Drosophila melanogaster: one gene and its partners. The protein of the gene in region 3 interacts with the protein of the main gene of each other region in a pairwise test. Each region holds a gene or a part of one and is shown on either strand. Other genes may lie near its edges. The genes, in order: CG3706, Cdc6 and Arp10.

Region 1 (3,947 bases), about 19 Mb from region 3:
CCTGTACCTGCAGCCTGGAGTTTTGGCCTCCTCCGGCCTGGATCTGCGGCCCCTGGACTTTGGCCAGCACTGGCGGCATTATGGGCTTCTTGGCGGCGGACTTGAGTAGGGGCACCTGGATGATGCGGGTGGTGATCGTGGTCGCCGGCGGAGGCGGCGGCGGGGCCGGGTACCTCGGAGTGGTCACCGGCGGCTCCCTGGTTGTCGTAGTGGTGGTGCTTGTGCTTGTGGGGGCTGGAGCGGTTGTCGTCGTCGTTGTGGTGGAGGTGCTGCTGCTGCTGCTGGAACTGGTGGCCACGATGTTGGGGCCAGTGGTGGTGCTCCTGGTGGTGCTAGCACTCGGATTGGTTTTGTTCACCCGAATTACGAACTGCTCAATGCCATTCCGGTTCACAATTTTCACATTCCGGCCCACGTTCTGCTGCAGAAAGGGCGATCCTGTGGGCAGTATGGAGGAAGTGCCAGCCGAATCTCCACCGCCTGGCTGCGGACTGTGGATCAGGGCCGCCTTGGTCTTCAAGAACCATTCTGCGGGGTTCGGCAGACATTCGGCGGACACAAGGAAGGGTATGAGCACGGCGCCAATGATCACGGTGCACACGAAGATCAAGCCCAAGTAGGCGAAGAAGGATCGCCGGCGTCGCTGGCCCTTGGCCTTGACGGAGGCGGTGGAGGAGGCTCCCCCGCCGGCGGAGCCCGATCGTCCCGAGCCCGAGAGCTTGCCCTCGATGCGGAAGTCGTCGTTCTGGGGCAGAATCGTGTACTGCAAGCTGTTCTCCCCGTGCCTGATGGTCTTGTACATCTTGTCCTGTTCTTCGTATGCGCTTGGGATGCTTCCGCGGCTGCCTCGATCCTCTGGAGCTTTCTTCCCTGGACCTGACTGGTTCACCTGGCTGCTCAGAGCCTCAGATGGGCCCTGGTCCAAAAGAGTTTGGTTATTCGAGTCACAACTGCCTCCACTTCCGCGACCCCCCCCCCCCCCCTCCTCCAACACTTTTCCCAGTTGTTACCTTTGCGACAGCAAATCCTCAATGTTCACTCTTGCGGGCTGCAGACCTGGTAGCTGCGTATCCTCTGTCCTCGAAGCTCCTGCCAATCGAATGTGGCTTTCTCGGCCTCAACGGAAGGTGCTGTGCGTTCTGTTGGAGTCCTTGGGGAATATTGTTTTTGTCCTGTTCCTGTTCCTGCTGCTGATGCTGATGCTCCTTGCGCACTAAATTTTATGTTTTTATTGATTAGGCGCTTGTTGTTTTCCGGCGCAGGCGCGATTTCCGAGTGTTGGCAAGTGCTCTTCGCGTCCCTTAAGGACATTTTCTAGTGTTGGCAATGGGAGTCTGGCACTTGAAGCACTTGAATCGAATTCTAACGGCTAGGTTTCAGCACTCCAGCTAGTTTTCACATCCATCGACTTGGAAAATCTCTCTTTTGGCGAGATTGTCAGCTCCAGAGCCCCACTACATCCAGTCGGGTCACATCCAAGTACCCACGAACACATTTGCTGAAGCACTCGGTCTATGCAATTTTTTATCTTGGCCAATCGTTGTGGAACTTCTACGCAAGCAGACTTTGCACCAGAAGATAGCCTGCACCACGGCTATCTGGAGCTGGCTATCGGCCGCTCCTGGCGACGATGACGATGACGAGTCCAGCTAATGTATCAATCAGAAATCGCGAGCGCAGACAGATCCAGATTTAGCGAGCTAGTCATGCATCGCCGCAAAGCCCGTCGATTCCGACCCGATAAGCCCAGTCCGAGGAGGTGGGGCCGAAAAGTGGGTTTAGACGGTGGCGGCTTATCGAGTGGCGATAAGCGGGACACAAGACCCACTTCCCCACACATTGTCCAGTGCAGGCCTCGCAGTCGCGTCCAATTGGCCAAGCCGTTCGGTAACGGAGCATTTTTGACGAGGATCGACATTCCGCGGAACTCCAAAGAGGATTTAATTTTGAACAGATTTTGAGCATCTTGGGACACAACATGATCGCAGCGCTCGGGCTGATCTTCGGCATTCTAACGGCCTTGGTGGTCGTGGCACTTAAGCTACTGGGCCTGAAGCCGCCACTAATCTTCGGCAAGTACCCACTGAAAGGCATCTTTTACCGGGTGAAGTTCTGGATCGCCCTGCTTGTCCTTCGCCGCCTGAGGTACCGCATCTACCGTCGGAACGAGGAGCTGCTCGGCTCCGAGGAGCACCTGGCCAAGGTCGACAGGCCGCAGCAGCTCAGCAACGACCCGAAGAGCTATGACGTGGTCAGCTTCATGGCGGCCAACAAGGAGGGCCAGAAACTAATGGTCACCTTGGAGCGAAGGAGGCGCGGAGTCCTCAAGGCGGCACTGTACCTGTGGCTTCCCGAAAGCGGCCTGTTCAGTTCGCCGAATCTGCCCGATATGGTATACTTCACCACCGCGGATGGAGCGGAGAGCAACGCGTTCCAGGGTGGAGGCTTCCACGTCTACCAGGAGGCATCTATGCGTGTGTGGCGGCTCAAGTACTCCGGACTGCTGAAAACTCAAGGGCCGGACGTGCAGGACGTAGCCGTGGACTTGGACCTCCGTTTCGAAAGCTCCTCCGCTGAGCACTTCGACTACAACAGAGATCTGAGCAGCGCCCTGATAGCCGACTCCATAGCCAGAGAGGCCTGGAACGAAAAGTTCTACAGCCTGCTGCGCAGCGTCAACCACATCGTAGAGAAGCGCACCCACTACGAACAGAACGGAGAACTGGCCGGCCAGGTCACGCTCGATGGCAAGGAGCTGGCGCTGAAAATGGTGGGCTTCCGGGACCACAGCTTCGGCACCGAGCGCTGCCTAAGCTCCATCAACCGGTACGTGTACTTTGCCCTCTTTATGGACGATGGCAGCAGCATGGTGGTGGGCAGCCTCAGTCAGCCGTCCTTCTTCCTGTCCTCCCTGAAGGTGGGCTACGTGTGCAGCCCCGAGCGGCAGTATCAGCCGCTGACCGGGAGCAACTTCGAGCTGTACTCGTACGGCGAAAAGGGAACGCCGCCGCAGCACCAGAATTTCATTGTGCGCACCGAGGAGCGGGAGTACCTCGTGCAAATCCAGGTGGAGGCCTCCGCGCTGCGCTACGTCGGCGGCGACTGGGAGTCTAAGGTGTTCAACCAGTTTGTGGCCTGCACGGTCAACGGAGTTCCCGGCCAGGGCCACGCCGAGTTCCTGTACCGCCACAAGGGCGGCAGGCCGGAGGATATATCGTCCGGGGACCCCGGCTGGTACCAGGACATCAAGCGCTTCGAGAGAAGCCTCTCGTTGCTGGAAGAGGAGGGCCAGGACGAAGACTTCATCTTCTAGGACGCCGACGAATTGTTTTTGTTTTCAGTTTAAGATAGCATGTAAAAGTATGGGGGAGACCCATCCTATCAAAATAAAGAGATTTTGTTTGAATGACATTCGAGATTCTGAAGTCATTGGCCGCGCTGATGTCATCGGTAAGTCCAAACTAATTCAGTTAACCAACAATCCAACAGCAATATCCACTGGAGGCCATCCGGTGCAGCTGCAATCTGGTGGACTCGGGTCGATGAGGAAGATTACCGAATCGCTGGTGGAGGAATTGGACCCCCCGTGAGGATTAGTCGCCCATAAATTAGCATGCGACAGACGAACGGATTAGATTGGACAGCTACTTCGGTTTTTCTCCCAATAAATAATGGCGATTCGGGCCATCGGTTTATGGCACCCAAAAGACAACGGGCCCCACTTATCGCTCCGTCGGGCCAATAAAACCCAAGACCAGGCACCAAGACTGGGCCCAAGTGCCCAGGTGTCGCAGATAAGAGGCGAGCGGCGGGGCAGATAGCTTCAATCCAACAAAATAAACCATGCTCGGGATCTGAATGGAGCATTATGCTGCCGTCCGGTTCCGACCTGCCGCAATGTCAGCTTATGGTGGGCCGATAAGTGCCGGGCATGACCCTCCCTTCAG
Region 2 (4,709 bases), on a different chromosome or scaffold from region 3:
ACCGTTTGATCTTGGAATTCAAGTTCAAATGCAAATGGCAGCGCCAACAGACCTGTATGTTTTTCGAGGTTTTTCGCCTTACTGCTCCCTCAGAAATATATGTATTTTTGAGGAATAGGAATATAGAACGCCATATACCTATAGATACATTCATGCATATATCTAGCTGGCCTCTCTGCATATAGCTTATTATTCAAACATTTGTTCGCCTTTCGTCAATACGCGTCGAAAGGCAACCAGAGTTTTTGAAACATATTTTTCATTGCGCTCTGGTTGTGTCGGTGGTGCTCAATGTAATTCATACCACTCAAATGGGGATATTTTTAGAGCAGAGAGCGCAGGAAGAACAACAATAAGCCAGCAAATAAATAAACAAAATGATTATAGAACAAATTAATTTCATGTCGAGATGGCCAACAAAAGCCCACACAAATTCAGAAGCACTGGTGTTAATTTGACTGGTATGTTCTGAAAACGCCTCAGAAAACAATGGCAACAGACTTTCCCTAAGATTTTCACAACTTTTGGCACGACCCAAGATTCAAACTTGCGGCGCAGCGAAAGTGGAAAACGTTTTCACTTTTGCGTTTTATGTATTGCGGAACTATCTAGTTTATTCTTATTTGCTTAGGGCTAACAGGAAGGGGATTCTCTATAACTTATTGGTCAACGGATCGGATTAGAAATAGATTATGGGCGCAACATTTACTTAGATTTATGACACACACAAAGTCTAAAAGAATCGATTCAATTAATAGTCAGAAAATAGCAGAAAATGTCGAAAGTGACCGTCAAATGATATTTCAAAATATTTCAGTGCTTGCGCCAGCCACGAATTTTAAAATTAGCGTCAAAAAGTATTCCTATACATATACGTTCGTCCCCAAGGTGAATGAAAATGAGAAAAATGCGCAATTAACCAGCGGTTTGTCGGGCACACTCATTTCCTAGAGGTAATCGTCCAGATCGTCACTTGCTCAGGCAGGCGGTATCGCTGAGGATCGAGGCGATCAGCTGCTTGTCGCTCAGTGCCGCATGCACCTCCTCCTCGTCCCACTGCAGCAGAACCTTGTGCAGGCGCGGCTCCTTTTTGCGCATGATTCGCAGAATGCCTCGGGTCTCGACCAGATCCACAGTCCCAGTGAACTCCGCTTGGTCCAGGGCCAGGATGTTGCGTTTGGCGCACACTCTCCTGTAGACCTCGTGCAGGCGACCCATACTGATGTCTTTGTTGCGCTCGTTGCGCAGCATCAGCACCAGGGTGCACAGCATTAGCTTTTGCTGCAGCGGAAATGATGCCTCGATGTCCTCCTCCAGATTCTGTGAGGCACCGTAGACCTTGTTCAGCACTGCAGCCACTTGGGTGACCTGAACAGGCTTTAGAGTGTCTGAAATAGTCAAGATAGGATTTCTTTTTAACACATTCTATAAATTTATCTTTATATACTAAAGAAACGAAGGTTTACCTTGCTTTTCCTTGGCCTCCACCGCATCCTTGCCCTCCAGCTGCAGGGCCTTCATATTGAACTCCTTTTCGCCATCGCGCTTCTGCTGCTCTGCTATCTCGACCACTCGTCGTCCAATGTCCAGGGCCCTTCGCACATCTCCACTGATCGCACTCACCTTGGCGGCCAGCAGCTGCAGGGTCACGGGTGGAAAGACGTCCAGCACTTCCGCCTCAGCCAGACGCGACTTGAATATCTCCACGATCTGCTGCTTGGAGTAGGGCGGGAAGTGCATCAGTCTGGGCTTCAGCTCGCACCTTGCATTCAGTCGCATCAGCGCACGATCTGTGAGATCCAAACTATTGGCAATGCCCACGAGCAGTATCCTGGAGCCGGGAAGAGCTGGCCACTCGAAGATCGTGTACAACACCTCCTGCCTGCTGGTGCAGAGCTGATCAATCTCGTCCAGCACCAGCAGAAGCATTCGCTTTGCTGTCTTTAGGTGACGCTGAATGGCCTCCAAGTGATCTCTCTCTGTGCGACCGCTGACTTTGAGCTGCAGTTCGGTGCATAGTTTCTTGTAAACTGCTCCTACACTTGCTATGCTGGTGCAGTTAATGTACACACGTTGCAGACGCTTGGAGAAGTCGGGATCTCTCAGCAGTAGCGATAGGCAGGCGGTCTTGCCTGTTCCTGGCTGACCGGAGACATAGAGGCTGCCGGAAGTCTGGCTTTCCAGGTGATTGCTGAAGAATTCACGTAGCTCTTGGAGCTGGGACTCACGTCCTGGCAAGTTTTGTGTCTCGGCGCTGTTGAGCACTCGTCTGGCGTTTTGGTATTTGTTGCGTGAGGGAGATGGCAGGTTATTCTGTTGGGTTTCCTCATTGGTTTGGATATTGCTTTTTTCTTTAGTTTGGTTTTTATTCGGCTGCTTTGTTGGAGGTTTCTCCTGCTGCTTTTGCGCTAATGGATCCTCCTGCTGTTTTGGCCGAGGCTTTGCCTCGTCCTTGGCTTGATGTTTCGGCTGCTGCTCAGCCGTTTCAGTCTTGTGTGTGGTCGCCTCCACCTCTTCCTCCTGGCGCTCGTCGATGCTGAGTCTGTCCAGCAGCCGCGAAGGACTGATCAGGTGCTGTGGCAGTGGCTGCAACTTCCTCTGCTTCGGCGGCGATCCATGAAGCGGGTCCACCTCCGAATCCTGTTCGCCCTCCAAGAATCTAGCGGTGGCCTCACGGTTTTCCTCCTCACGTTTGGCCCGTGAACTGCCAGCTGATTGGACTGTTTTCTTTGTGCTGCGTGGCGTCTTTGGCAGCTCCGATTGAGCCACCTGCACTTGCGATGTCCTGCGCCTGGAGATCTTGTCCATTTTGTTGAGCACGTTGCGGTTCTCGTTGTTCTCTGAAACGGGGCTGGTCAGGTCATAGATCGCCGTCACCACCTCCTCCTCCTCGTCGCTATCGGCAAGCACTTTTTTCGGCTGCCTGCGTTTCCAAACTTCCGAGCGACGCGGCGTCTGCGTCGACGGCGGCAGCGGAGAGGCGGCGGTCGCTTTGCTGATGCTACTAAGGCGCGTGGAGCGGCGTACGGCAGCCATTCTTTAGCTTAGTTTATTGATCAGCAGTTAGTTACTATTAAATACGAGTTAAATAAGCCACAGCGTGCGTTACAATTTTCAGCTGGCAGTCACAGTTAAAAAAGCGCGCAAATTGAGTTTGCCATTCGCCACGAGCAACAGCTGATCAAGCCTGGTCTGGTCATCTGGCAGCTCTAGCCCAGAGCTGCCTATTGTCGATCGCCTATCGATTAGGCGCGCATAGTTACAACATTTCAAACAGCAGTCCGCCTATATTGAATTACTTACATACTCGCGTGTGGACGGCCTGGTAAAAATAAAATGGTCCGCGGCAGATAGAAAACACAAATCGCTGGACGTTGAACACGCTTACGTAAGCGCCTAAAAATATTTCCCCTGGCTATGGGATATTTTTAAAGTATATAAACGGGCGCACATAAAATGGAATTTAGATATAGCGAAAAAAATTATGCACACACACGCTCGAAGGAGAAATACGTAGCACAGTGGGCAAAGATCTGGTGATTTCTAGAAACTCTTTTAATCTCTGTCTGATTTATTTATATTATCATTTGCCGCAACGGCTGGTCGGCCAAATGTGTGCCCCATTTCGGCGTAAACAAAGTCGTTAATCTTCACCGATCCGCTTTCCAGCCCTACCGTACAACTCCGCTGGTCCTGCCCGGCGCCAAAGTGAAGAAGGATGCGCCCACGACAGAGTCCTACTTGAGGCACTACCCCAACCCGGCTGTGCGCGCCCACCCAGGACACGACTACCATGACAGTATCATGAAGCAGCGCGTGGCCGACACCATGCTGCACAAGGTGGTCGGTTCGGAAGCCGACACTGGCCGCGTAAGTACAGGGGACTTCTTAAAGTCACACCCACATAATGGAAAATTACAAAAACTAGAGTTTTCTACATTTAAAATTGATATTTTCAATGTTAACATTTCGAATTCGTGACCTGTAGTCTTTGTTCTAATCCTGTTACGAAATTGATTGTATTTAATTTAAGTGTAAGTTGTAATGGGTTTTACTTACATTTGTGTACATATATCCCCCGATTTTAGGTCTTCCACAAGCAATTCAACTCGCCCATTGGCCTGTACTCCAACAACAACATCGAGGACACCATCAGATCCACAGTTCCGTAAGTTGTCACCCAGAAATGTACCATCTGGAAACTCCTATGCTTAGCTCGATACAATGAAAAAAAAAAAACACTAATATATGAACTTTTGGAATTCGCTTGTCAAATTGAACTTATAAGCCTATGAATTACGCTACATATTCTTTGGATTTTGCAATTTACGAATAAACCTGCGTAGAGTTCTTCGAAATTTTTGATGCAGCTTTTCTTTTTGCCAGAGAGACAGAGAGAGCCACTCGAAATGCGCCAAGTAGCTTGAAAACTAATAAAACGAGTCACGAACACACGGTTACGAGTAGCCTAAGGTCCACATAACCCGAAAAATTGGTTCCTGGTTAAGCTGCGGCCATAATCCACTAACCCAAAAGCCACAAAATCAAAGTCGAAACGAAATTTACTAAACCGATGCACACACGAAATGAGAAACACACACAATTCGAACATACGATTGAACACGAAAACCAGTCCATAGATGTTGTACGTACTACTTACTACTGCCTACTGCCGGATCTCTGTTTTACATGCATTTATATACATTTAC
Region 3 (3,821 bases):
TTCATCGGCTTCTTCGTTAAGTTGATACACATCCCCATCAACAATATCATCGTGGGCTCTTAAATGCGCTGAGTGGCAAGGAAACCACCAATCATCCAATCATCCATTATAGCATACATCAGATCAACGTCTTTTTTTTTCGTTTAGTTAACATGCATTATATGTATGGACCATGTGCATTCAGCGAATGCCTTTCTAACAAAATTCTACACAAACGTACGAAAACGTATTGTAATGTTTCGATATTCCATTCATGAACAAGTTAGTTAATAAGATTCAAATGTAAAAAGGAATCACCCGTCTTCATAGCATTTGTTTGGGGTGCGCATCCCCGCTAATAAATGTTAAATTGATTTTCCGTGTACAAATGAGATTCTTTTAACTCTGAGAGACGCAACGTTACATTGCTTGAAGAAAGTAAAGTTGTAAATGAAGCTGATAAACCGACATCATCATTAGAACCAAGAATAAATGTCCAGAAAACGTACAAGCAATATTTTGTTTAAAGCTCGTTAGCCTATATTTCGTAAATATTTAATACCTATATATTACAGAATAATAATCAAGAGTATGTTAGTACGCGTAACCAGTAAAGCGCCGAAGCGTACATATTTCCATCTTCCGGGACTGCCCTCGAGTCTACGAGCCTGTCGGCCTATTATCGCACAGGTTGCTCCAGTCGGGAACGTGCTCGCTCTTTAGATACGTCTCCTTGACCAGCGATCGTGTCTGGATGAGATCCGTCGCGCCGCACAAGGCGCCGCCCAGCCAGGCAGTAAAGTTTTGCTTGCCGACAGCATTGAAAAACTTGAACTGCAGCTCGCCATGGAAGCGTTCGGCGTAGAACGGATCCTCGGTGAGCAGATGCTGCAGCTCCTGGCGGAGGCGGGCCAGCAGACCCTGGACCATTGAGCCGCCGCCCACGAGGAACACACTCTCGACCAGGGCACGTCGCACGTCTAGTGTGCAGTCGAGAATGGAGCGCAGGATGAGATGCGGCAGGCTGTCCCGCTCGTTGCTGGCCTCGAACATGATCTCGTAGGCAGACTCCCGCAGGAGGCCGGGCACCTGGATGACCGCATCGTTGTCGCTGACAATGTAGTCCACGTCTGGCGCGGGAGTCGGCTGATTCTCGTCGCCGTTGGCGCGGGCCTTGGCTCTTTCCATGGTGGTCACAAAGCAGGTTCGCACCTTGATGTCCTCCAGCACGCTTTCTGTTAGCAGGCTCTCCTTAACGCCACTCTCAACCAGCTGCCGCTTGATCTCCGCGTGGATGGCGCTGCCTCCGTAGCTCTGATCCTTGAAGGCGGCCATGATTTGCACCCCGCTGAAGACGGGCATAACGCTGGTCTCGCTGTAGCCAACGTCCACCACAAGGGCAGTGGGCACTGCCAGCGTAGACAGCGCAATGAGATGCACGGGCACGAACAGCACGGAGGAGACGTCGAAGTGGACAAAGAGCACGCGGGCCAAGGTTTCACGCAGCACAGTGGATCCGAACACGTTCTCCACCAGCACGAACTTGCGCTCCTTGGGGCTGACCAGTAGATGCCTAGAAGGAAATTACATTGCAATAGAAACCAAAGCCACCGAGTCACCTACTTGAAGAAGATCGTCTGCAGAAAATCCACTAGCTGGTCGTACAGCTCCTCCGGAGTGTCGTAGTCGAACAGACGCTTCCGGATCCCCGTCGTGGTCATCACCACCTCCGTGGGCATGATCTTGCGCGGATACGCCTCCGCTGCGAATCCCAGCCTGAAAAGGGTGCAGTGATGACTTCATACCACTTTCGCCGAATTATTTGCGTTTGCTTACTTGGTGTAGGCGGTGCCAATGTCGAGGACAATGGGCGGCTTCTCCTGCATCACGCTCTCGTAAATGGGCATCTTGGCTGCTGTCTGCTGGCTGCTTGCTCCTTTGCTGGACGAACCGACTAGACCATGGAATGGTATATTGTTCAGTTCGCTTAATTTTTGGCCAAAACAAGAAGTTATCGGTGTGCGGAAATCATCGATTGACGATGTAGCGAGCAAACACCCTGTTTCCACTAATGGCATCCGTTTTACTGGCACGCTTTTCAAATTTCTGGGTAACTTTAAAACTTTGCCTATTGGTTTGAAATACATTCAATTTGGTATTTTGGTATTTTATGGCTTTTAAAACCCAACAAGATAAAATTTTGAAAGTAGCTCGGAATCATTTGGTGTCAGTCGATTATTCTGCTTTTAAGAGGTCTAACTCTTACGTACAAATAGAATCAACTTTACTTTAGTTTATTGCAGTGTACATACATATGTATGCTTTTCAGTAAGTTTACAAAACTACTTTATCGAATTTAAGAAGTTAATTTCGCGAGTTTGAAGCTAATAATTATAATGATTCTTGTGAAATTAAATTCATATATCTTAAGAACAACTTTTGTTCAATATAATCGCAAAGTCTCCGGGCGCGCTTCGTCACTACATTAACTGCCGTCCACAGTGATGTTTTCTTGCATGGATATCGTCCTGTTTGAAATTATTATATTGCGTATTACTAAAACAAGTCGGTTCCACTTTGAATTTTTAAATTTATTTCAAATTTATCTGCTTTATCTTATTTCGATTTGTGTTTTTGCACGGTCGACCGCTTCGATTTCATTATGTTTTCTTAGTATCCTGGTGTGTTTTTGGGCTATAATTATTATACTGCATAATGCATGATGCATTCGCGGTGCGGGATGTGTGATCATATACAATTTGATGTATTATATAATAATAACTTTTGCCTATCAACTAAACCTAAGCGTAATTTCAGAAATATTCCTTCAAATGATAAATGTGTACAATTATATAAATTACATTATGCCTGCGCATAGGTAACTATACAAAACGAGGAAAGCACAATTCATTAAATAATTAATTAATTAACTATGTATAAAATGGTCTTCTGGCGTCTCTGCGAAGCACCTGGGACCTGGGGCCATAGGACGAGGGCTAAGGATTGCGGATTGACGGTTGTGGGCCGGAGTATTGCTAACTAGCGATTCTAGTAGTTCCTTTGAGCAAACAAGTTTAACAAATTTCGAATAATAAATAACAAAGCAGTAACAAGTCACGAGTCACCATTTTCCTCCAGAAACTGGGGGGGAAACGGTTCGGATCGAAGCGGTTGCGATGCCCGCATGAGACAAATTCAATAAAAAATTGCTTCATTGCGGGTACGCTTAAAATTTAGTTGTTAAAATAAATAAATTAATAACTGTAAGATCTGATTGGGAACTGGGACTGGGACTGGGACACGGACTGGGTCATGGTCTTGGACAAGGGCGAGAAAAAGTGCGAACTCATCGTCTAAGCTAATTTACAGTTACATTCAGTTCAGTCGTCGCTAGTTTGGCAGCTGAGGTGGCCGTGGTCTCGACATGCTCCTGATCCCGGTCCTCGACCAGGACAGAGGTGGTGTCACTGGTGGCGCCGCCTCCGCTGCGACGCCTCCTCCTGCTTCTCCTATCCTGTTCCTGTTCGTTTGTGTATCTCGTTTTCTGCTTCCGCTGCGCTCCGTGTCACTTCTCCGGCCCAAAGAGCCTGGCCAGACTCGCGTTCTGATTGCTATCCATGATGTCAGCCGTGGTGCCCATGGATCCCTTGGCCTTGTGCGACTGCATGGGCGGCAGATTGGCTATCTGCACCTCGTGCCGGAACAACTGGTTCACGCTGCGTCCGACCAGCTGGGCGGTCAGCTTTTTGAAGATGTCCTTCTTGGCGCGATCCACTTTGTTGCCCTTGACGGGCGCCACGGCAATCTTTTCGTCGAACTTTTGAATGTCGGCCGCATTCACG

What was found.
Region 1: the proteins of Arp10 (region 3) and CG3706 interact in a two-hybrid assay, tested with the Drosophila melanogaster proteins (one large-scale study listed by BioGRID).
Region 2: the proteins of Arp10 (region 3) and Cdc6 interact in a two-hybrid assay, tested with the Drosophila melanogaster proteins (one large-scale study listed by BioGRID).

The regions. Positions count from the first base shown.
Region 1 is NC_004354.4:930,394-934,340, reverse strand, and holds CG3706 (uncharacterized protein), read left to right. Parts: upstream 1-1,865; 5' UTR 1,866-1,978; coding exon 1,979-3,313; 3' UTR 3,314-3,410; downstream 3,411-3,947. Other genes in the region: CG32815 (uncharacterized protein), read right to left, coding at 1-802.
Region 2 is NT_037436.4:8,630,914-8,635,622, forward strand, and holds Cdc6 (cell division cycle 6), read right to left. Parts: upstream 3,157-4,709; 5' UTR 3,037-3,156; coding exon 1,467-3,036; intron 1,389-1,466; coding exon 970-1,388; 3' UTR 596-969; downstream 1-595. Other genes in the region: Zasp66 (Z band alternatively spliced PDZ-motif protein 66), read left to right, coding at 3,670-3,870, 4,089-4,168.
Region 3 is NC_004354.4:19,644,031-19,647,851, forward strand, and holds Arp10 (Actin-related protein 10), read right to left. Parts: upstream 2,147-3,821; 5' UTR 1,887-2,146; coding exon 1,816-1,886; intron 1,756-1,815; coding exon 1,603-1,755; intron 1,553-1,602; coding exon 640-1,552; 3' UTR 501-639; downstream 1-500. Other genes in the region: Sec61gamma (Sec61 gamma subunit), read left to right, coding at 1-63; Ranbp21, read right to left, coding at 3,545-3,821.